3 linked regions of the Elephas maximus indicus genome follow. The protein of the gene in region 1 purifies or fractionates together with the protein of each later gene. This does not show direct contact. Links are inferred from orthologs where the notes say so. Each region holds a gene or a part of one and is shown in the gene's direction. Other genes may lie near its edges. The genes, in order: TCOF1, NOLC1 and ARRB1.

The links.
Region 2: the proteins of TCOF1 (region 1) and NOLC1 purify together in Homo sapiens (affinity purification with western blotting; 4 studies listed by BioGRID and IntAct, with this or other methods). This does not show direct contact. The link is inferred for Elephas maximus indicus from reciprocal best matches to the Homo sapiens genes TCOF1 and NOLC1.
Region 3: the proteins of TCOF1 (region 1) and ARRB1 purify together in Homo sapiens (affinity purification with western blotting; 5 studies listed by BioGRID and IntAct, with this or other methods). This does not show direct contact. The link is inferred for Elephas maximus indicus from reciprocal best matches to the Homo sapiens genes TCOF1 and ARRB1.

The regions. Positions count from the first base shown.
Region 1 is NC_064820.1:165,574,188-165,581,512, forward strand, and holds the start of TCOF1 (treacle protein), read left to right. Parts: upstream 1-4,293; 5' UTR 4,294-4,350; coding exon 4,351-4,458; intron 4,459-7,083; coding exon 7,084-7,139; intron 7,140-7,325.
Region 2 is NC_064834.1:53,751,730-53,759,077, forward strand, and holds the start of NOLC1 (nucleolar and coiled-body phosphoprotein 1), read left to right. Parts: upstream 1-4,346; 5' UTR 4,347-4,414; coding exon 4,415-4,534; intron 4,535-6,297; coding exon 6,298-6,353; intron 6,354-6,464; coding exon 6,465-6,607; intron 6,608-6,707; coding exon 6,708-6,838; intron 6,839-7,348. Other genes in the region: PPRC1 (peroxisome proliferator-activated receptor gamma coactivator-related protein 1), read left to right, coding at 1-270, 1,255-1,404, 1,508-1,574, 1,696-1,817, 2,065-2,216, 2,509-2,612. UniProt on the Homo sapiens protein: Nucleolar protein that acts as a regulator of RNA polymerase I by connecting RNA polymerase I with enzymes responsible for ribosomal processing and modification.
Region 3 is NC_064825.1:47,153,201-47,160,246, forward strand, and holds the start of ARRB1 (beta-arrestin-1), read left to right. Parts: upstream 1-4,032; 5' UTR 4,033-4,259; coding exon 4,260-4,279; intron 4,280-7,046. UniProt on the Homo sapiens protein: Functions in regulating agonist-mediated G-protein coupled receptor (GPCR) signaling by mediating both receptor desensitization and resensitization processes.

The DNA.
Region 1 (7,325 bases):
AGTGAGTGGCCCATTCAGCCACTCAAGCAGAAACCTGGGCATCATCGCAAATTCTAGCTGCCAGCCCTCCCTGACCTCAGGCTTTGGTTCTAGGCCTCGTCGTGGCCCAGTCCACAAAGCTTTCCACTATTTCCCTGAAAACTAACCCCATCTGCCTTCAATTCCTTTCCTACCCAGCCTAGATCCCAGAGTCCAGCGATTCAGCATCTCTTTTGCCAACACTTTAGACCCCTATGCCTTTTCCCCCACTCATTTGGCAAAACTCTAGGCCTGGAGTAAGTACCTTCCATTTGCCTGCATCTGGGCAGCTGAGCCCTGCTGAAGGAAATCACTCAGCAAAACAAGACAGGACTCACATAAATGAATGACCACCAGCCTCAACAGGGTTGTTAACACTACCAGGCAGTTGTGTTTTTTGTGGGCAAGTTGCTTCTCAACTCTGAATGATCACTCTCCTCCTTCCTTCAAGCTCCTCACCACCTCTTCTTCCCTCTCAGCAGAAGACCTTGCCTCCCACTTTGCAGAATAAATAGAAGCTGAACATGAAATCTCCCTCAGCATCCCACTGCAAACCTACATCTACATCTGCACCGTCCTCTCTTTGTTCCCTCTTTTGGTTCTGCAGAAGTCATCCCTCCTCCTCTCTAAGACCAACCCTCCACCTACACGCCTGATCCTATCCCCTGGCACATGCTGGTTGAAGACTACTCCATGATTATCTCCCCTATTTCTTACACCCTTGATTAATCTCTCCCCTTGATCTGCCACTAGTTTTAAGCAGACTCGGGTCTCCTCCACCTTAAAACACACCACCTTCCAACACACACATTGACCACATCATTTGTCTCCTCCCCATTCACACAAACACACACACACATGCCAACAAAAGACCCACTGCCTCCTTCATCTCCCCTCCACTCATCAGACCACAGCCATCTGACCCTCACTCCACAGAAGTAGCACTCTCTCAGGACACCAATGGAGTCCTGGGGTGGTATAAACAGTTAATGAACTTAGCTGCTAACCAAAGTTTGGTGGTTCAAGTGCACCCAGAGGTGCCTCGGATCTACTTCTAAAAAATCAGCCATTGCAGCCCTATGGAGCACAGTTCTACTCTGACACACATGGGGTCACCATAAATCAGAATCAACTCATTTGCAACTGGTTTTAAGGCTACCAGCAATCTCCATGCCTGTCATGAAATTGAGGCCCACTGCTCATTCCTCACCATTGGTTCATCCTACTCATCTCTCTGGCTCCTCATTCTCAGGCTTTGCAGCCTTTTGTTGCTGCTGTTAGCTGCCAAGTTGGCCCCTGACTTATAGTACCCCATGCACAACAAAACTAAACTCTGCCTAGTCCTGTGCCATGATTAGTTGCAGACTGAACCATTGTGATCCATAGAGTTTTCATTGGTTGATTTTCAGCAGTAGATTGCCAGGCTTTTCTTCCTTGTCCATCTTTAGGCTGGAAGCTTTGCTGAAACCTGTTCAGCATCATAGCAACACACAAGCTTCCACTGACAGGTGGTGGCTGTGCATGAGGTCCATTGGCCAGGAATCGAACCTGGGCCTCCCACATGGAAGGCAAGAGAATTCTACCACTTAACCACCAACATAACCCCCTATCTCTCTTTAGGAAGACCTAACCTGTGGGCATGTCTCAAAACTCCACCCTGGGCCACCTTGTCTTCTCCCTCTACCTTCGGCTCCCTGGACAATCTTGTCCTCAACCACAGTCTCAATTATCATCTCTCTGGGGACAACTTCCCACCTTCATCTCTAGCCCAGACCTCTGTACTGAATCCAAAGCCAGGTTTCTACATGCCTATTCCACATCCACACTTGGTGTCTCAGTGGCATTTCAAGCTCAACATGTCTAAAGTGGAACTTAAACTTTTCACCTCCTCCTTCATACCGCCCCTCCTCGCTCATCCTCGCTCAACTCTCTCACCCCAGTCCTCTTCCAGTTTTTCCTATCTTGGTGAAAGTTACTGTCCACCTGTTTGCACAGAAACCTCAAAGTCCATCCTGACTTCCTCTCCTCACCCTCCTATTCCAGCACATCTCTATGATGATTTTACTTCCTGAATAACTCTAGGAAACTTCCACTGCTCTCCAACTCCACTGCCATCCCCCCATCCCTCACTTTGGCCACCATTATATCCCTTCTGGATGCCTCTCTGCACCCCTAACCCTAACCAGTCTTCCCTCATTTACTTAGATGCTTTCTACTCAACTCTCTAGCGGGCATTTACACTGGTCACCCTTAATGTGGCCAATCCTGAATGGAGAACCTGCCCTCTGCTCACCTTCTGCACTTCCCAAGCTACAAAGACCTTCCCTTCCCTCTCCTCTCAGTTGCACTCCTGCCGCAGACCCTTTGAAAAGGTTTTTCCTTCTGCCCAGGATTCTTCCCCCCACCCCACCCTCCCCTAGCCATAGTTCAGATTTCCTCACAAACCCTATTTCCTCAGGGAACCCTTCCCTAACCCCCAAGAAAAGGTAGATCCCTCCCTCCTGTTAAATGCTTTTGCAATAATAGGTAACACATGCACACAGTATTTACTGTTAGGAGTTCTTCTAAGCATTTCTGCTTGATATTCATTTACTCCTCAGGACAACCCTATGAGGTAGAAATTATAATTATCTCCATTTTACAGATGAAGTAACTGAGGCCCAGAGAACTTATATCACTTACCCAAGGTCACCTAGTCAATAAGAGGCAAAGCCAGAATTTGAACCCGGGAGGTGCAATTCCAGCAGCTTTTCAACATTATACTACTCAGTGAGGAAATATTATCTTTTTCCTTCCTGCACTTATTGGAGTTTGTAACAGTGTATTTGTATGAGTATTTATTTAACATGCATCTCCCGCATTAGACTGTAAGCTCTGTGGGGTAGAGACTGTTTCACCCCCAACCATAGGTGCTCAACGAATATTTGTTAAATGGCTGAAAGTAGATTAGTCTTCTCCTCTTCCTCACTCACCACACCCAATCAGTTACCTGGTCCTGTTCATGTTTCTTCCTGGAGCGGAGTTTCCTAACCCTAGCAAGTTTAGGTACGTGCTTATCTGTGTCCTGAAATTGGGTGGAAAATCCGATGTGTCCGTAAAAAAAAAAAAAAACACACTTTCAAAATTTTCTAGAGCAAGGGCTGTGCTTCCTGCTGTCATCAGATTCTCAAATGGACCCAAGAGGTTAGGACTAGCTGACTCAAATATTCCCCAGCCCAGCTCACCCTCTCCCTGCCACCTCCCCTCAACACTACAACAGCCCACATCTAGTTTTGTTCCCCACAAATCCGTCTTCCATGCTTTGGTCATAGCAATCTTTTCACAATGCAAAACCATATCACACTCTTGCATAAAGCCAAGGGGAGGCTGTCCATTGTCCTTGGAACAAAGTCTGAACTGCTGGGATTGAAGAGGGTTTTGTAGGCCCTGTCTGCTTCTCCTCATGTGTCCCCAGTTGTTTCCTCTTCCCCCAACTCTACAGACAAGCAGCACAGAACCAGGTTCTGTGCTCTGGATTCCCAGCCTACACCAGGTGGTTTCTTATGCCTATACTCATGCGTTGCCCTCTTCTTGGGATGCCAATACTCTAAACCTAGAAATTTCTACTCCACCTTTAAGATTCAGTTATTTTAAACTCCTCCTTGGGGTTAGATACCCCTCCTCCGTGTTCCCATAGGCTGTTCCTATTCCTGACAACTGCACACGAGGCGTTGAACTGTAGTTGCTTGGTTACCGACTGTCTCTCTCTGCCCTGCAAGCTTTGAGGGCGGCCGCCATGTCTTATTCATCTTTTTATTCCCTCTGCCTAGCCCAAGGTACGGTACTTATTTGTTCAGTAAGTAAATTAATATATGAATAAACTAATAACAAACAGTGCCTGGTTCATAGATCCTAAAAAAAAAAAACGTGTGAAAAGAGTAAATGAGCGGGCAACTGGAATTCGAGTTTAGAAAAGATGCAGATTAGGGCGTTCAGAGATGAATAAAGCCCAGTCGCAGCGGTCATACAAATCACTTCAAGGAACAAGTCTAAATAAAGGATTCCCAGGAGGGAGTCCTTCGTAGCATGGCCCAACCAGGAGGCGGGGCCAGATCAAAGCCCTCCCATTCCCTCTGCAATCGGAGATCTCTTGCCTTCTGAGCCTCCGCCCCTTTCACCCTCCAGGACCTGAGCGGCCGCTCAAGGATAAAAGACTACATTTCCCGGAGTGCCATGCGGCTGTGGCGAAGGAGGAGCCGGAAGTGGGGTGCGCGAGGTCTAAGGGCAAGAGGGAAGTGGCGGGCGGGGACTGGGGGGGCGTGCAGGTGAGCGGAGTAGCCAGGGGTCGCGGGCATGGCCGAGGCCAGGAAGCGGCGGGAGCTGCTTCCCCTGATCTACCAGCATCTTCTGCAAGCGGGCTATGTTCGCGCAGCGCGGGAAGTGAAGGAGCAGAGCGCCCAGGTGAGCTTGCGAGTGCCGTGTGCGAGGCCCACGTGCAGGATCGGCAGCGCAGCAGCTGGTGCCCCCTACCCAGGCGACAAGATGGGTGCCCAGACCCGGATTCTCCTGTTCTCAGGGACGCGGGCCGGGGGAGCTCTAGTAGCTACAGCCTCAACCATCGCTGCAGCTCTTACTCTCTGTAGGCCTCAGTTTACCCATCTGTGCAGTGGGCGGGCCGGGACCGGTGATCCAACGCTTTAGGGCTTTTGTAATTCCCGCGCCGCTCGCCTCTGCTCCCTTCCTGGGAGCAGCAGTTTAAAGTTTCTTAAGTCTCAGACCACGTGGCCCCGCGCGGCCTCCTGGGGCAAGTAGTTGGCCACGGGTTTGAGGGGCGAATTGTGACCACCTCCAGGAGGGACCGCCAAGGGAAGGGGCTCCACAGTAGAGCAGGAACTCAGACCTTTAGAGAGCCTCTGTACAGAGTTGGACAGCTTTGGGGTTAGAACTGGTGGCGCAGTCTTTTCTCACTTCATTCATTCAGCAGCTGTTAACCTGCTGGTGATAGAATGGCGGTCTCGGTCCTTCAGCCCCAGTGGAGTTTACGATCTAGTAGAGGAGACAGACACAAATCACGAAAGTACCTGTAAACTTAACACTACATGAAGTTACAAGAAGGAGAGGCACAGCGTGCTAAAACAGTGTATGGCAGGTTGCCCTTGTCTCAAGAGATACCTGAGACTGCTGCCCTCAGGAAGTCACTGTTGATTTGAGATCTGAAGGGGGAAGGTGAATATTCCAGGCAGAGGTGCAAATGCCCCGTGGTAGAAGAGAGGTTGATTTTGTACATACTGACCTCAAGAAAGGTCCCTGAGGCTACAGCACGGAGGACCAGGGCAATAGAGGTCCCCAGAGAGATGAGAGAGGGAGGTGGGGGCTGGCCCAAGCAGGTCTTGTAGTTAGTTTGGTCTTAAGCCAAAAAGCAGTGGGAAGCCACTGGAAGGTTTTAAACTGGTGACTGAGGGGGCCTGATTTGTCAATATCCCAGGGCCTCCTGAAGGGATCAAAGGGTGATGGGCCCTGAGATGTTATCTATGCTTTTCCCAATCCTCCCTGAGCCTTGGAGCGTATGCCTAGGAAAATTGTCCTGCCATCCTGGAACATACATTCCAGCAAACGACATGTAAAAAGTAAGTTAGTGGTACAGAGTGTCATGTGATAATAGGTGAGGGCTATAAAAATTAAGCAGCAAGGGTGATTAAGGAGTGTCAGGGGTGCAATTGTAAATTGGGTAGTCAAGGAAGCCTGACTGAAAAGGTAACATTTTGGGCAGAGACCTAAAGGAAATGAGGGAGTGAGCTATGTAGTTAGCAGGAGAGAGAGCATTCCAGACCCTGGTAGGGGTGGAGTAGGGGGTGGCCTGCCACATTTAAGGGACAGTGAGGAGGCTGGTGTGCTTGGGTGGGAGCAGAGTGAGGCTAATACGTGCTGTCTCAGATGTTATGGAATGTCTTAGTTATCTGGTGCTGCTGTAACAAATACCACAGGTGGGTGGCTTTAACAAACAAAAATTTATTTTCTCATAGTTTAGGAGCTAGAAGTGTGAATTCAGAGCTCCAGCTTTAGGGGAAGGGTTTCTCTCTCTGTTAGCTCTGGAGGAAAGTCCTTGGCTCTTTTTAGCTTCTGTCCTTCCCTTAGTGATCATCATGTGTCTTGGCATCTGTCATGCCCCATCTCGGCTTCTTTCCCTTGCTTGTTTAATCACTTTCATATCTCAAAAGGACTTAAGACACACCTGCCTCATTAACATAACAAAGGCAACCCATCCCAAGTAGGATTATAACCACAGGCATAAAAGTTAGGATTTACAACACATATTTTTGGAGGACACAATTCAATCCATAACATGGAAGGGACCTGAATTTGGAAAAGTTAGCCCAGGGTTACCTAGTCAGTTAACAGAGAACTGACTCCAATCCAGGCCTGCCTGACCCCTGGAACACACTGTTGGCCACTCTGCCCAGCCACCTGAGCTCTCCACCCTCACCCCACACTGCTCACCCAGCCTCCTTGGAACTTGAGGTGCTTGGCATTTCCAGAGTTGGCCTTCTGTCCTCAGTTCCAAAGTCCTGGATTCCACCTGGTGTTCTCTGCTTCCACCAAGAGACTGGCACCATTTGGGCCCAGCCTCTTCATAGTGAACTGCTAGACTGAGGTTGTGCCGCTGGAATGCCTTGGGTATCTGGACTATGGTTCATACTGTCTGGGGAGATCCACCAGCCAAACTTTTGAAGGCCTCTTGAAAGGTCAAGGGTGGAAAAAGCCCCATCTTATGGCCTGTGAGGGTGAAGAGTACCAGAGAGGCCAGGAGCTGGGTGAATGCTAGCCTGGAACACTCCAGCTCCAGCCTCTCAAACGTGCCTCTCACCAACATGTCTAAAAAGGTTTTAGCTGGAATTGCTTGGCTTGATTGTTTCTGGAAGGTTTTGAATGGTATTGGCAGGGCTAAACAGACATGTTTCTCAGAGCAAAAAGACTCCCTTCTCAACCACCTGTCTGTTCTCATGTCATGAGGTCAGGCAGAGTTGGGACCAGGGAAGGCCTCCCCTGCTGGGAGGTTAATTGCTACCTCTCTTTATCTCTCTGCAGAAAAGTTTCCCGACTCAGCCGGTCACCCTTCTGGACATCTACACACACTGGCAACAGTGAGTTTGGTGGGGCTGAGGGTGGAGTAGGGGCACCCCAAGCAATTGGCTTGGAATAAGTCAGGAAACTAACCTGATCTAAGATGGGTCCCCAAGCCCACTGTGGACATAGCTCCCAGAAAGCCAGATCACATGGATAGATATTTCTTTTGATCAGCATTTATTAAGCACCTACTGAATGCCAGG
Region 2 (7,348 bases), on another chromosome or scaffold:
TGAGGCCTCTCCCTGCCGGAATGACATGAACACTAGGATTCCCCCTGCATCCTCAGCCAAGCAGCAGTCAATACGCTGTTATCGAAAAGCCTGCAGGTCAGCCAGCCCCCCAAGCCGGGGCTGGCAGGGCCGCCGCGGCCGCAGCAGCCATTCTATCAGCTCTGGGTCCAACGGGACCAGCGAAGCATCTTCTTCCTCATCCTCATCGTCGTCTTCCTCATCCCGTTCCCGGTCCAGGTCCCTCTCCCCCCCACACAAGAGGTGGCGAAGGTGAGCTCTGGTGGCCTGTTAGGTCCACTCTGTTTAGGAGCTTCATGAACTCCTCTCTGTGGTTTTCTTTTGAAACCTTTTGCACATTAACTTTGATACTTTTAGGCACTAAGGTTTCTGTTTCTGTCTTTGGCGTTTGTCGTCTCCTTTCCTAGATTGTTGAAGGAGACAAACTGGGAAGAAAGCTTCTATCCTGTGTTGGAGTATAGGGTATCCCTGAGGTCCCCTGCTTCCTTGAGACTTGCCTTGGGGAAACTCTTACGGTTCTACCTTGACCATGTTGATCCCCTCACATATCATATTGGCCCTCATTTATGGCATTTTCCTGGTGGTATGTGGGAAGGCGGGATAGTGAGTTGTTAACAGGAAATAGTCCTTCCCTTAATCATCTATTGAGGAAAGAGTTTGGGGCAGTTTCTTTGGGTATCACTGTGGCCTCATCTATTTCTTGGCAGTATCTTTACTCTTAATAATGAACCCAAATTTTCCCACTTAATGAATTCTTGGTTTTTGATGGTGGTAGATGCTTTCAGAAATGGCCCCTGTACAGGTCTAGCATAGTCTTCTCCCCTCAATGCCATGGTCACAGCAGTCCTGTGAGTCATGGGAAGGGAGCAGTAGGCCAGAGACTCAGGTCTGGCCTTAGCACCACAGATAGCTGGCTGTGAGACCAAGGGCCCACTCCTATTCTCTCTGGGTCTTTATCTATTTTTTTTTCTTTCTGATTGTTAAATATTTTTCAGTTTTTAATTGCACAATTGAAGATAAGTATGGTCTTTGTCAAAACATACCAGATATATGTAAAGTTCTCTTGAAGGGCCTCAGTTTGTTCATCTGTGAAGAAAAGTGCTCTTCTAGACATCTGCTCTGCTTTGCCTCTGGTCCTGAGCCTCCAGACAGGGAGGCAGCGCTGGGGCCAGGGTGAGGTAAGTGGAGTATACCTGCACTACTCCAAGCATTCCTGCATGCCCCTTTATCCTCCAGGTCCAGCTGCAGTTCCTCTGGGCGTTCCCGAAGATGCTCTTCCTCTTCCTCCTCCTCCTCATCTTCCTCATCGTCCTCATCCTCCTCGTCCAGTTCTCGAAGCCGTTCCCGCTCCCCATCCCCCCGCCGGAGAAGTGACAGGAGGCGACGGTGAGCATGTTTAGGGAGGCAGTGTACCTGGGATGCAGACACCTGAGAGTTGAGTCTTGGGTTGTCTTGTGTCTGGGGAGCTGATGAAACCTTCTTCTGTCAGGTACAGCTCCTACCGTTCGAGTGACCATTACCAAAGGCAGAGAGTGCTGCAGAAGGAGCGTGCAATAGTGAGTAGAGGAGCAAGTTATGGGAGAAGGAGGAACTTCCCTCTGAGCCATGAGCTCAAAGAGCTGAGTGTAGCTGTGATCCTGGCTCATGGCAGGTCTGTTTTTCCTTGCTCCAACATAGGAAGAGAGAAGGGTGGTCTTTATTGGGAAGATACCTGGCCGCATGACTCGGTCAGAGCTGAAACAGAGGTTCTCGGTTTTTGGAGAGATTGAGGAGTGCACCATCCACTTCCGTGTCCAAGGGTAAGCTTGGGCCCTAGGGTCAGGATGTTCTTTCTGCCTCATTCAGCTACCTTGATGTTTCTTCATCCTTCCCCCTTGCTTTGGTGTGCTGGGCAATGTAGAGCACCTTCATTTCTACGATCAGAGGGTTGGTTATTTGGGGAGTGGGAAGAAGCACCACAGACCCTCTTTGTACCCTGGTGCTGTCACTGCTCCATGGTATGTGCCCAAATGGCCATCCCAGCCCTTGCCTCACCCTCCCCACCAGTGACAACTACGGCTTCGTCACTTATCGCTATGCCGAGGAGGCATTTGCAGCCATTGAGAGTGGCCACAAGCTGCGGCAGGCTGACGAACAGCCTTTTGATCTCTGCTTTGGGGGCCGCAGGCAGTTCTGCAAGAGGAGCTATTCTGATCTTGGTGAGTGCAGGGAGGGCCTGAGGTTTTGGCACATTTCATCGCCTCCCTAGAAGGCTTCCCAAGCCTTTGAGTGTGGGGCTAGGTAGACTTAACCTTCATCTGACATGTGAAGAACCTGAGGGGTGAGATCAGAAGAGAAATGGGGTTCTCCTGTGTCTCTTTGACTTAAAATCAAGGCAGTTTTAACTCCGTTCATTATTGGGATGGGAGGTGGCTAGCCATTTGAGGACCCTGCGGTTGGGAAGCAGTGGTCAGAGACCTTTGAACCCTGACATTTGGTCTTTCTTTATAGACTCCAACCGGGAAGACTTTGACCCTGCCCCTGTAAAGAGCAAATTCGATTCTCTTGACTTTGACACATTGTTGAAACAGGCCCAGAAGAACCTCAGGAGGTAACCCTGGGCTCTCCTCCCCCCCTTTTCTTTGGAGGTGCCCAACCTCCTCCATCCCCCTCCCCCACTCTAGGGGAGAGAGCTGCTAGTGAAGAGATGACTGTTTTATAAAGAAATGGAAAAAAGTGAAATAAAAAATGTGTAAAATCAGATTTTTTAAAGGGTATTTGTTTTTTATAACAGGTATTGAAACAAGATAACTTGCATTCCTATGTAAGATGGTTAGGGCTGAGGGGTTCCCCCAGTGTTCGGAACATCTTAAGTCACTATGCAGACTAATTAATAAACATGAACTAGTGAGAACTCTCAAGTGTGATTGTGTTTCTTTCTTTGATGCTACTGCCAAACATACTTTTCCTTTCTGAACATAATCAGGGATATACTCATGCCATTAAGTTCCTAGGACCTTTCTCTGGTCAGGTACAAAATTCTACTTGACTGACTCCTGAAGTGTGTTGTCTATGAAATCAGCTATCTAAGGCAGTGCATCTCACACTTTAAAGGGCATTTGAGTCATCTGGAGATTGTTTAGAATGCAGATTCTGATTTTGTCCTTTTGGAATTGGGCCTGAGATTCTACATTTCTAACAAGGGGATATTGTTTCACCAAGGATGTAGAGAGAGCTCACACTTGTTGCAAATAAAGGTTTTCTCATTCACCGTCTGTTTTGTTCACCATTTTAGCTTGAGCACAATTCTTGACACACTGCAGGCAGCCAGATGTTTAAAGAATGCGCGTATGTGGACAGATGTGGCCACCTTCTCTCTGGGGAATAGGACTGCTAGAGTTGTATCTAGGGGAGGGGAGTGCCTCTTTTGAGAAAGAGGAAATCCATGAGGAAGTGGATTCTTATCCTTCCTGAGGGGATGCATTAAGAGGAAGTAGTCAAGGGGTAGTGCTTCAGATTGAAGGGATTGTTGTCTGCTAATGTGACTTGAAATACGGCAGAAATTGGAATTTCCTTGGCAGACCTGGGCATTGATATTGGGTTTACTCATGACAAAGGGAGGGGTTCCCCAGTTCTCCCACAGAGAGTTCACAGTGTGAGCTCTGACCCAAGAGATACAAGGTTTATTTTCTGGACTAGGGGTTGGAGGGATTGCTGTGATCCAGAGGTTTGGTGCACTATCCTTTTTCTTTCATGGAGCTGACCTAAGGCTGAGTAATTGGGGTAGAGAGGCCTATGTGTTAGAAATCTGTGGGAGGTGTAGGGCAAGTCATGACAGGAAAGTTGTGGGGATCAACACTTTCATCACCACGGATAACCTGAAGGACAGATGGGAGTCTGGAGGCTAGGGTGGTATCTGAGAAAGGGCCTCCCTGAGTGTTGGAGACAGTGAAGATGAAGAGTGAGAATCCACCTGTAACGAGAATGGGGGCTGTTGGGAAGTCTTGTGACCAAGTCTAGACAGTAGCACAGGTCGAGCCGGCCAGTCCACTCACCAGCTGAGGCGCGGGAATCTGCTCTGAAAGCACCTCCAGCAAAAGGACAGCGCGCGGGAAGCCCAGAGTTTTCCCGCCACGGCAGAGGGCGTGACTCCTGACGTCAGAGCTCCCCTCCTACAAAGTGACGGCCGGCGGGCTCCGCCTTTACCATGATGGCGACACGCGTAGGACCGGAAGAAATTTTTAGATTTCCTCCTTGACCCTACCTCGGAGGCGGAGGTGGGACTGCTATGTAGAATACCACACTTCCGGTATGCGCCCGCGCGGCGCAATGACGTCACGCGAGCCCTCCCCCTTGTGTTCCTGAGTTTCTAAATCGTGCTGCGTGGGCAACCGTAGTGACGCGTGTATCCTGGAGGATGGCGGACGCCGGTTTGCGCCGCGTGGTTCCTAGCGACCTGTATCCCCTAGTGCTCGGCTTCTTGCGCGACAACCAACTGTCAGAAGTGGCTAACAAGTTCGCCAAGGCGACAGGCGCTGTGAGTCCCGGGCTTGGGGCGCGGGTTGGGGAGGGATGACCACAAAGCTCTGGGCCTTGACATGCTTAGGGTTCCGGGTAGGGAGGTATGTGGAATCCGCCAGTCGAGTGTCTGCAGGACCTTTGTGCCGAGCTCTCGGCGGTGACCGGGGAAAGTCCAAAGCCTCGGCACTTCCTTTTTCACGAGGTTTGACTAGATAGCGCTGAGTCTTGTTACATTTTCCTGGTGAGCCGTGCAACGGCTGCAGTGTGGGGCCCGCGTGGTCCAGGTCACGTGGGCTGGCGGTGTTCTTGGGGGAAGCTTGGTGTCCAAGGGTATTGGTGGCGCTTTTTAGGCTTTTCGTTAGCCGAGGGAAAGCGTGAATTGACCTGTAATTCGCAATTGTCCAAGACTTAAAGACGAGTGAAATTGCTTCAGAAATGAAAGCAAGGGTTTTTGTGAGTAAAGAAGAAAATGAACGAAAGTAGAGGCAGGGTTCTGCTCTTAGTGATATTGAAACAAAGGCTGAGTATATCATGGCTCTACCAAGCAGGCATAGCAGTGGGCTTAGAGTTTCGGCTTATGGAATCAAAGTTAGGTTTAAGATCAGGCCCAGAAACCGGGGCAGTTTGACTAACCTCTCTGAGTATTTGTAGTTCTACATCATCCACTTGATAGAATTTTTGTGAGTTTCAGCCAGATGATGTATACAAAGTGGCAATCCTAGTGCCTGATGTGCTGCAAGCATCAATGAGTAAAAACGGTTAATATAGTTATGGTAACTTAGATGCTCCAAACATGTGTAGGAGAAGGATAACCAGGAATATGACAGATTTGGAATCCACATCTCAATGAAAGCAGACATGACTGCATGGGAAAACCCCTGCAGAGAAGGGTAGAATAGTAGTCTTAAGCATGTGTAATAACATGATTGAGAAGGTAGGTTTGTCCTTTGTGGCAGAATCAGTCTTTGAAAGGAGGTGATTAGATCAGCTTCAGAAAGAACTTCCTTAAGCTGGGATAACCTGCCTTGTAAGTTGATATAACTGCCCTTTTTTTTTTTTATTGGATCAATTTTGTATTGACTGTTAGGGGGACTGCAGAAAGTGTTTCCGCAATGGGTTGGATAGAGTTGGGTCTTTCAGAGTTAGAATTCTTTGGTCTTATGAGACAGAAACTATTAATCGTGGAGAGTTTACTAAGGATTGGATGCTAATTCTTTTATATGCATTATTTTTTATCCTATGATCAACTTAATGAGGTGTGTAGTATTATCTTCATTTTATAGAGAAGAAAACACTCTCAGAGATTAAGTTCAGTTCTGTCCTGTAGGGTTGCTATGAGTCGAAATTGACTCGACTGGTAGCTTATTTACTAATTTTCTTTTGGAGTCTTGTTTTCAGCAATTTGGTAGTACAAACCAAACACAGTAAACATTTTCTTGTATAAATGTTTGTGCCCTTGTTTTATGAGTAAGGATACATTCCTAGATGACACATTGGTAAAGAGAATGCATGTTTTGTAAGGTTTTGATAGTGGATAAATAGGCAGGAAGATAGATAGTACCACAAACCACAGGAATGCCCCAAGTTTTGGGAAATATACAAATGGAATTTTTTTTTCCTTAATGTGTGCAAGTAGGAGCAGTCTTATGAAAATTTAATGTTTGTACTAAATTTAGTCACAGGATTAGTAGGTAGCATTTAAAGCATAACGGAACATTTGATCTCTCCTAAAATAACCAGTATAAAATTTTGCTTGGCTCTTTTTCTTTTCCCCTACAGACCCGTCAGGATGCCAACGCCTCTTCCCTCTTGGACATCTATAGTTTCTGGCTCAAGTAAGCTTTCCCTGTTCCACATTGTCTGTATTCTCCCACTGGGCGATTTGGGCTGTGTTCCTTGGTTTGGGAAGGTCCTGGTGCCCCAGAAGTTAGCATCATTGACTTTAGCAGGTCTGCTAAGGCCCCAAAGCGGAAGTTACAGGCAAATGGGCCAGTAATTCAGAAGGCTAAGAAGAAGACTTCATCCAGTGACAGCAGTGAGGATAGCAGCGAGGAGGAAAAAACCCAAGTGCCTCCAGCTAAAAAGGCTGGTAAGGCAGGGCAGGGGGCTTGGGGTGGTGGTTCCAGGAAAAGGATTTGTAGCCTTTCTGTTCCACATGGCTAACTCTTACTGGTGCCTGTGCTGTTCAGCTATAGCTGCCAAGCAGGCCAGTCTTCCTCAGCATCCTGGAAAGGCTGCAGCCAAAGCATCAGAGAGCAGCAGCAGTGAAGAATCCAGTGACGAGGAGGAGGAAGAGGACAAAAAGAAGAAGCCTGTCCAGGTTTGCAGTTTTGGGAAAGGAAGGGGTTGCTTATGGAATTGGAAAGAAACCTAAATTCTTGACTTCTAGCTTGTGACCAAGAGGTGGTGCTGGGTGTGAGGCAGGTGACTGTGAGGAAGAAAATCTAGTGACTTTCTGGGAGGTAATAGAAGTATGAGGTCCGGAACGGATGTGCGAAGATGAAGTTGGGCTTCAAATCTGGAGGTATTTTTGCTTCTCTGATTGACTGTCTGGGGCTCTGACAATAAAAGAGAGAGCATTTAGTAGATAGGTACTGGAAACTCTTGGCAGGGGCCAGCAGGGATAGAACTGATACGTCAAGTGGCTGAACTTTTGTTTCTCATTAACAGTTGGTTGCCTTTTTCATCTGCTTTTCTCCTCAGCTTTCCCTTTCTCTTGCTGCTCCATTATCTGTTAAAAAATAAAAAGGGCTTAGAAAGCCCTGTACACTAGGATGTCCTTTGAGTACCCAGAAGTACTTGCTGATTGCCCTACTTGTGTGTTTCCTAA
Region 3 (7,046 bases), on another chromosome or scaffold:
TCATATTCCCTAGCATGACACTTCAGGCTCTGCATGGGCTCTTGCCTGCTTCCCAGCTTTACCGAGGAATATTTACAAGGGAGAATTCTGGGACTGGGTTGCTACGGATTGAAGTGGGCAAGGGAGGTGTCCAGGATGACATCCAGATTTGCGGTTGGGGCAGAGGTGGTGAAGGTCCTTAGTTTCTTATCTACTAACATCTCAAAGGGCTGTCAACCTCAAATCCTTTGTTGAACAAGGAGCTGAAAACTCATCCACTTACCCATCCACCCACCTATCCATCCACTCTTCAATCTGACATTCAACGACATGACCAGGTAAGCAGATGCTTTGGGTTTGAGCCCAATCTTTACCTTTCATTTACTATATCATTGGCCTAGGCCCTTTCCCTCTTAAAGCCTCTGCTTTCTCATATATGAAGCAGGAATAATACTTCATTTCTCTCTCTCTTTTTTTGGGTAAGGGATTATTATTAAGTGGTAAATTTCAGGCATATGTCTGGCCCAAGTTGAGACATAGTCGGAGATGACCAACTCCTATGGACCTCAGTAATAGAATCCTTTTGCCTTTTAGAAAAATCACTCTGGTGTTCAGCTAGAGGATGTATTAGAAATGGATTGAGATGGGAAGGAAGGAGTACTCCAGTCCTCACAACCTCACTTCCCATATGTGGGGATGTAGCCTGTGTGGACGCTGGAACAAACAGGCCCTGCCCCAAATCTCTGAGTCATTTGGATTCTCCACAGTCCACTGACAACGCCTCAGCAGGTGCTGTTGGCTCTGCCTCCAAATATATCTGAACTTCTTACTTCTTTTCATTTCTGTGCCACCATACTAGCCCAAACCACCACCCACTCTTTCTTGGCTACTACAATAATGTGGCGCCCTGTATCTGCTCTTGTCTCAATCCAAGTTGTATCCATTCAACAGCCAGAGTGACCTTTAAAATGTAAAGCAGATACTGTTACTCCTGCCTAAACCCTCCACTGGCTCCCTGACTCCTCACCCGCACCTATAAAGCATTACCTGATCTGACCCCCGCCAGCTTCTGGTCTACCACTCCTTCCTTCCCTGTTCACCCAAATCCAGCCACATAGTCCTTGTTCTTGCCCATTAGAAAGGCCAAGCTTTTGTACTTGCTGCTCCTTCTTCCTGGGAAGCTCTTCCCTTGACTCTTCACATCGCTGGTTCCTTACCTACAGGTTTTAGCCCAAATGTCATCTCCTTGAAGAGCCTTTCTGTAAGTACACTGGCCCCCAGGCACTCTATTTTATTACCATTTTATTTTCTTCATAATACTTATTACTGTCTTAAATCATGTTATTTATATTTATAGAGTTCTCCTCAATGTCACTATTTTTAAGTGTATATTAATTTTGATTTTACAGGTAATACCAGAATACATTCTCCATAGAGCCTGACATATTATCAGGAGGGATCAATCCCTGAAGACTGACATTATGCTCGGTAAAATAGAGGGCCAGCGAAAAAGAGGAAGACCCTCGATGAGATGGATTGACACAGTGGCTGCAACCATGGGCCCAAGCATAGCAATAATTGCCAGGATGGTGCAAGACCAGGCAGTGTTTTGTTCTGTTGTGCATAGGGTCACTATGAGTCAGAACAGGCTCAACAGCATCTAACAACAACAACAACAGAGCTTGACAGGTAAAGCAAAATACTCTTCTTACTCCTCTTCCCCCAGCTTAGATTCCTCATTGAAATGAAAGCCGCATTTGTCTTCTTGGCCACTGATTTTTAAGTTCCTAGAACCATGCTTAGCACATAGTGGGTCTTCAATAAACTGTTATTGAATGAAGAATAAATTGTGGGTTAAATTCTGGTCTACTATGTATTAGCTCCGTTTTGGGGAGGGCACAAGGAAGGGAGGTCCAAAGGAGGCTATGGACTCAAGCAAATTACTTAGCTTCTCTGAGCATCCATTCACTCATTTATAAAATGGGGAAAAGAATATTTATTTCACATAATTTTGAGCCTCAAGTAGTGCCAGACACACCATACACCCCCTCATGAAGTTTACAGGCTAGTGGAGATGTACTGGAAACCTTGACTGTTGACTCCATAGTCTGCCAATCTGTTCAATGTCCCTACAATGCTAGAGTCAGGCTTCTCAAACCGGCTGGAAAGAGCTGTTCTGGATTGGGTGTGGGGGCGGGGAGCCCAAAACCATCTGATGCATCTTCCTAGACTGTTTATTTTACTTGAACGTAATTAAAAATGTGATTTTTGTAGTAAAATGAACATAAGTATTTATTGAGTGGAATTAAGAATTTGCCTGACAAATGTATTGCATGCATTTTTATAACAATTAAAAAAAAAAAAAAAGTCAGGAAAAAAAGTCTGCCTGAATTTTTAAATAAAGTTCAAAGGTGCTTTAGCATCAGCATGGGGAGAGCCACTGGAGACCATGTGGTTTGGTCGAACCCACGCTTTAGAAGTGGGGAGCTTGGGGTGCAGAGAGTGGTAAGACCTGGCCTGTGCATCCTGTTAGGGTCCTCTCTGGCTCACCCAGTGAGTCTCTTGTCATCATAGGAGAACTATGGTCTGCTGTTCTCAAGATTCCTGACCCCTGCAGAAACAGCAGGGGCTTCCCCTTCTTTCTCTTTGGAAGGAGAATGGGGCCCAGAGGTCAAGGCCTGGAGGAGGGTTCTAGGCCTAAGTGCACACTCTCCTTGCACCTAGCATTGCCTGGAGCCTGGACCACCCTGCCTGCCCATCAGTTCACCCCTCCCAATCTAGACATAATTATGGTAATTATACTGGGATATCATTACCCAACTATATATAAAACCAGCATAGGTAACTGCTTCTGAGCATAATTACAGGAGATGTTTACAGACCCACAATCGCATCAGAGTAAATGATAGCTTCCTTTCCTCCCACTAATACGCCAATATTAGGGACCCATCAGGGCCAATTAGCCAAATCCCAGCAGAGCGGGGGTGGAAAAGACCTCACACTCTCCCACTACCTACAAATCAGGGTCTCAGCCAGCCATTTCCCTGGACACCAAGAAGTCTGGAGAGGGATGAGCCAACATTTACTGGGTACCTACCGTGTGCCAGGCCCTCAGGGGGAGTCCGGCAAACACAAGCAAATTTTTAAAATCTATGAACAATTCTGAGGGACAGTATTGGTATTCCCACTTTAAAGATTTGGAAGTTGGCACTGAGAGGCCTGTTGTCCAGGGTCACCAACAGCTGGTGGTGGAGCTGGACCAGAGCGCCTTCCACGATGCTACCGGGCCAGGCCAGCCTCCTGGCTCGCAGCCCCGAAGGTTCTTTGCTCCCTTCACATACTCCTTATCTCCTCCTCTCACAGCTTCCTCTTCCCGCTGCCCTGCTCGCCTCCCGCCCCCTTCCACCCTCATCAGTTCCCCAATATCGATGTTGTTTTCGCCTGCCCTCTCTGTCCCTTCTTCCTGCCTCTATTGGGTGGTTGGGTGTTATCTCTCAAGTAGGGGGTTGCATAGGGCGAGGGCCTTGCCAGGCATGCGGAGTCTCAAGCCAATTCCCTTCACCCCCGCCGGGGGGCGCCGCCAGGGGCTTGGCCCCGGGGTGCGCCGACCTTCGGCTTCCACCCACAAGCACACACAAAGGCTGTCTCCAGTGTGCGCGGGACAGCTCACTAGTACCCACGGCAGTGCGTACACACGCACAACTGCATGAAGACGTGCACACTCCTCCATCCACACAAATACACTCCCAAATAGGCCCGCGCACACCGCCGTGTCCACGCACTGCAAGGCGGCATATACTCTCGTGTGCACACACCGCACACATATACCCAAGCCGGCGTGTATCTTCACGCACACACACACGTACGCGCACACAGTTGGGCACGCACCCTTGTATACCGGCAAATGCAGACCTCGGGGCCCTGACGTGTATCGCTGCCCTGCCCTCGCGGCTCTCTGGGCGGTGCACGCGCGCGCGCGCGCGCGCACACACACACACGCACGCACTCACACACAGATACACACACGCACACACACACACACGGACAGACACACCCCGGTCGGCTCCACGCCCCTGGCCGCGGCCCGGGCTCTGCGCGGCGCGGCGCTGCTGGGCTGCAGGCGGGGACCTGGACGAGGGCGGGGGAGGAGGCGGTGGCCGGGCGAGCAGAGGAGGCGGAGCAGGCAGTCGGGAGCGGGCTGGCCCGCACTCCTCCTGCCGGCCGGGGATTTTCCAGCCGGTACGCTGAAGCCGTGGACCTCCCTGCCGCCGCCACGGACCATGGGCGACAAAGGGACACGGTGAGTGCTATCGGTGGCCTGGTCTGGCGCGCGGGGGGGGCGGCCTAGGCGATAGCAGAGGCGAAGGTTGTAGTCCGCGTCCTGGCGCTGCGTTTGCAGTCACTCCAGGACCGCTGACGCCTGAGTCCGCGGGACCCTGCTCACCTCTGCCAGGGGTCTCTTGTGTGGTCACTGGCAGGGGCCGCAGGCGGGGGTACCCAGAGGGTGAGGACCGGGCCGCCCCAGCTGCCTCGCGGCTCCTTACCGAAACACACACACACTCACTCACGCGCTGACACCCAGCCCTGGCCAGGCAGGCGCAGAGACGCATGGGGGCAGGTTGACACACAATGGCACACACTCATGTGGACACACGGGGCACACGCACTCATGGGCACACTCATGACAGCACACACAATGACATCCACTGTCACACACTTATCACATATAGTGACACACTGTCACACACTCCCAGATACACACTGTGGTATACATTTGGCAACACATTCATGCTGACAGTCATGCTGGCATAGGTGGGTACACACCTAAACATAGAAACATTAATACCTCATGCTGGCGCACAAACATTGGCCCTCAGTGACACACATGCACACTGTCACTTGCACTCACTGTAATACTTTTACTGGCACACGCGTTGTCACCCTCACTGACCAGACACACCTGTGCTAGCACAGATCTCACCAACACGGTGGAACGCAAGACCACACCAACACTGACCCACACAGACACACGTCAGACTGATGCCCACACAGACTGGCACCCCATAGGCACCAGCAAGCGACCACGGGGCTGCTGACACACTCCCTCCAGTCCCCACATGGTAAGAAATGGAAACACATATACATCACACAGGGTGGGGGCGCCTCGCCTGGAGCCTGGGAAAAACAGGTCCTATGGACTCTTTTCCTTTCCCTCTGACCTCCTGAGGCCTGGGGTGGCTGGCCAGGATCTGTTTTGAGCTAGAGATGGGGAGAGGGGCTCCTAGATAGGAGCCTGCCCTAGAAGATTAGACTAGGAACCAGAGAAGTTATGCATCTGAAACGGGAAACTGGGACAAAAGGGGCAGGGGCGGGGGCTGGGGCAAGGTAGCCCCTGGGAACAGCCCTGTGGGACCAAGACAAGCCCTGGTCTGGTATTCAGCTTTGTCACCCTGCTTCTATCTCTACCACTCTTTCCGCCCCCTTAGGTTCTGCTAGCAGTCTCTCCCTTGTCTCTTCCTCTTTCCTACCCCTTTTTGCTACTTGGACTTTTTCAATTGTCCCTTCTTTACCTTCTATCCCCGGTCCCACTTCTCCCCCCCTCCTCCCTCCCTCCATTCTCTTTCCCTCAGCCCTCCCTCCCTCTCTCTCCTTCTTTCCAGCAATTATTTATTGAGAGCCTACTGTGTACTAGGCACAGTGTGGGGTCAAAGACTTGCAAGATGCATTCCTTCCCGGAAGGAGCTAACGGACTAGAGAGAAACCGCACTAGTGGTCGTCACCTTCCGGACCACTGACAAAGCAGTTTCTTACCCACTGCCTTCTGAGATCTCAGTAGCAGGAGAAAGGTCCTACAGAAATTATTTCCATTTTCTGGAAGAAGAAACTGAGGCTCAGAGATAACTTATCCTTTTAGTGTTTAGAAACTGCTTCTCCACCATTCTCCTGACAGCTCTTCCAGGAGGTTAATTTTCCTTTTCCCGTTTTCCAAAAGATGAACTGGAGCATTAGAGAGGTCACCTGGCTTGCCTAAGGTCAAGAGGGGTCAGAGGCAGGGTAGAGGCTGGAACCCACCTGCTCTGTTTCTCTGTGGCTCCCTTTTGGGCATTGCCAAGCCCCTCATGGGCCCTGGGTTGGGGAGACAGGGTGGCGTACCTTGCTCTGTGTGTGGGGCCCAGGCTTATGGGGGAAGCTGCGAAAGGTCACAGAGCATCTGCATTCACCCTGACGGCTACTCTCCATCAAAGAAGGCCTGGCCAGCACTGTGTCCAGCTGTCTGTCCTCAGCAGGAGGGTGTGTGACTCCTGCGTTCTCCCTGCAGGACACAGTGGGGGCCAGGAGTCATAGCTCCTGTCCTGTGTTCCGCCAGTGCTGCTTCATGATCAGGGTGATTCAGCCCCTCTTGGGCCTTGGTTTGCCTCTTGGTGACTTGGGGAGAAGTGTCATTGCTCCCCTGCTGGCTTGTTGGCAGAATGCGTTCACCATGAGCAGTCAGGCCCCAATGGGCACCTGTTGGAGACCCTGTCTCTGGAGCCAGGGCTTTTTCCATCACTCCTCCACTGTGCCTCTAATTCGGTACAGAAACTCGGGGACCTTGGGCAATTGCCTTCAGCTTTCTGGACCTCAGTTTTCCCATCTGTAAATTGGAGCTGTGAATTGTGCTTATTGAGTTCACAGTGTGTGGATTCCTTGCGCTTACTGAATCCACTGGGAGGAAAGATGGCCCTGACTGAAGTCTAGAGCCAAGGCCTGGCTAAACTCCACCAGATGATCCTCCCTTCAGCCACCACCACAGTCCCAGGAGGCCTCTCTCTCCCTTTCCAGACAGGTAATCTGAGTAATTTGGTAGAAAAGGGCAAAATCAATAATGGGCCATGCCCTGCCTTGTTTCCTAAGCCTTAGGATTCTACTTGATGACTTAGAAGAGGAAACTGCCAATACCCAATACTCTAAGGATCAGGAGCCATCACGTGCATCCCTCTGCCTCAGATTGCACCCCCTGTATGAAAGTGACAATACAAATTAATCAGAAACTGCCACTGACCTCTAGGAACTCCCAGGACCAAGGG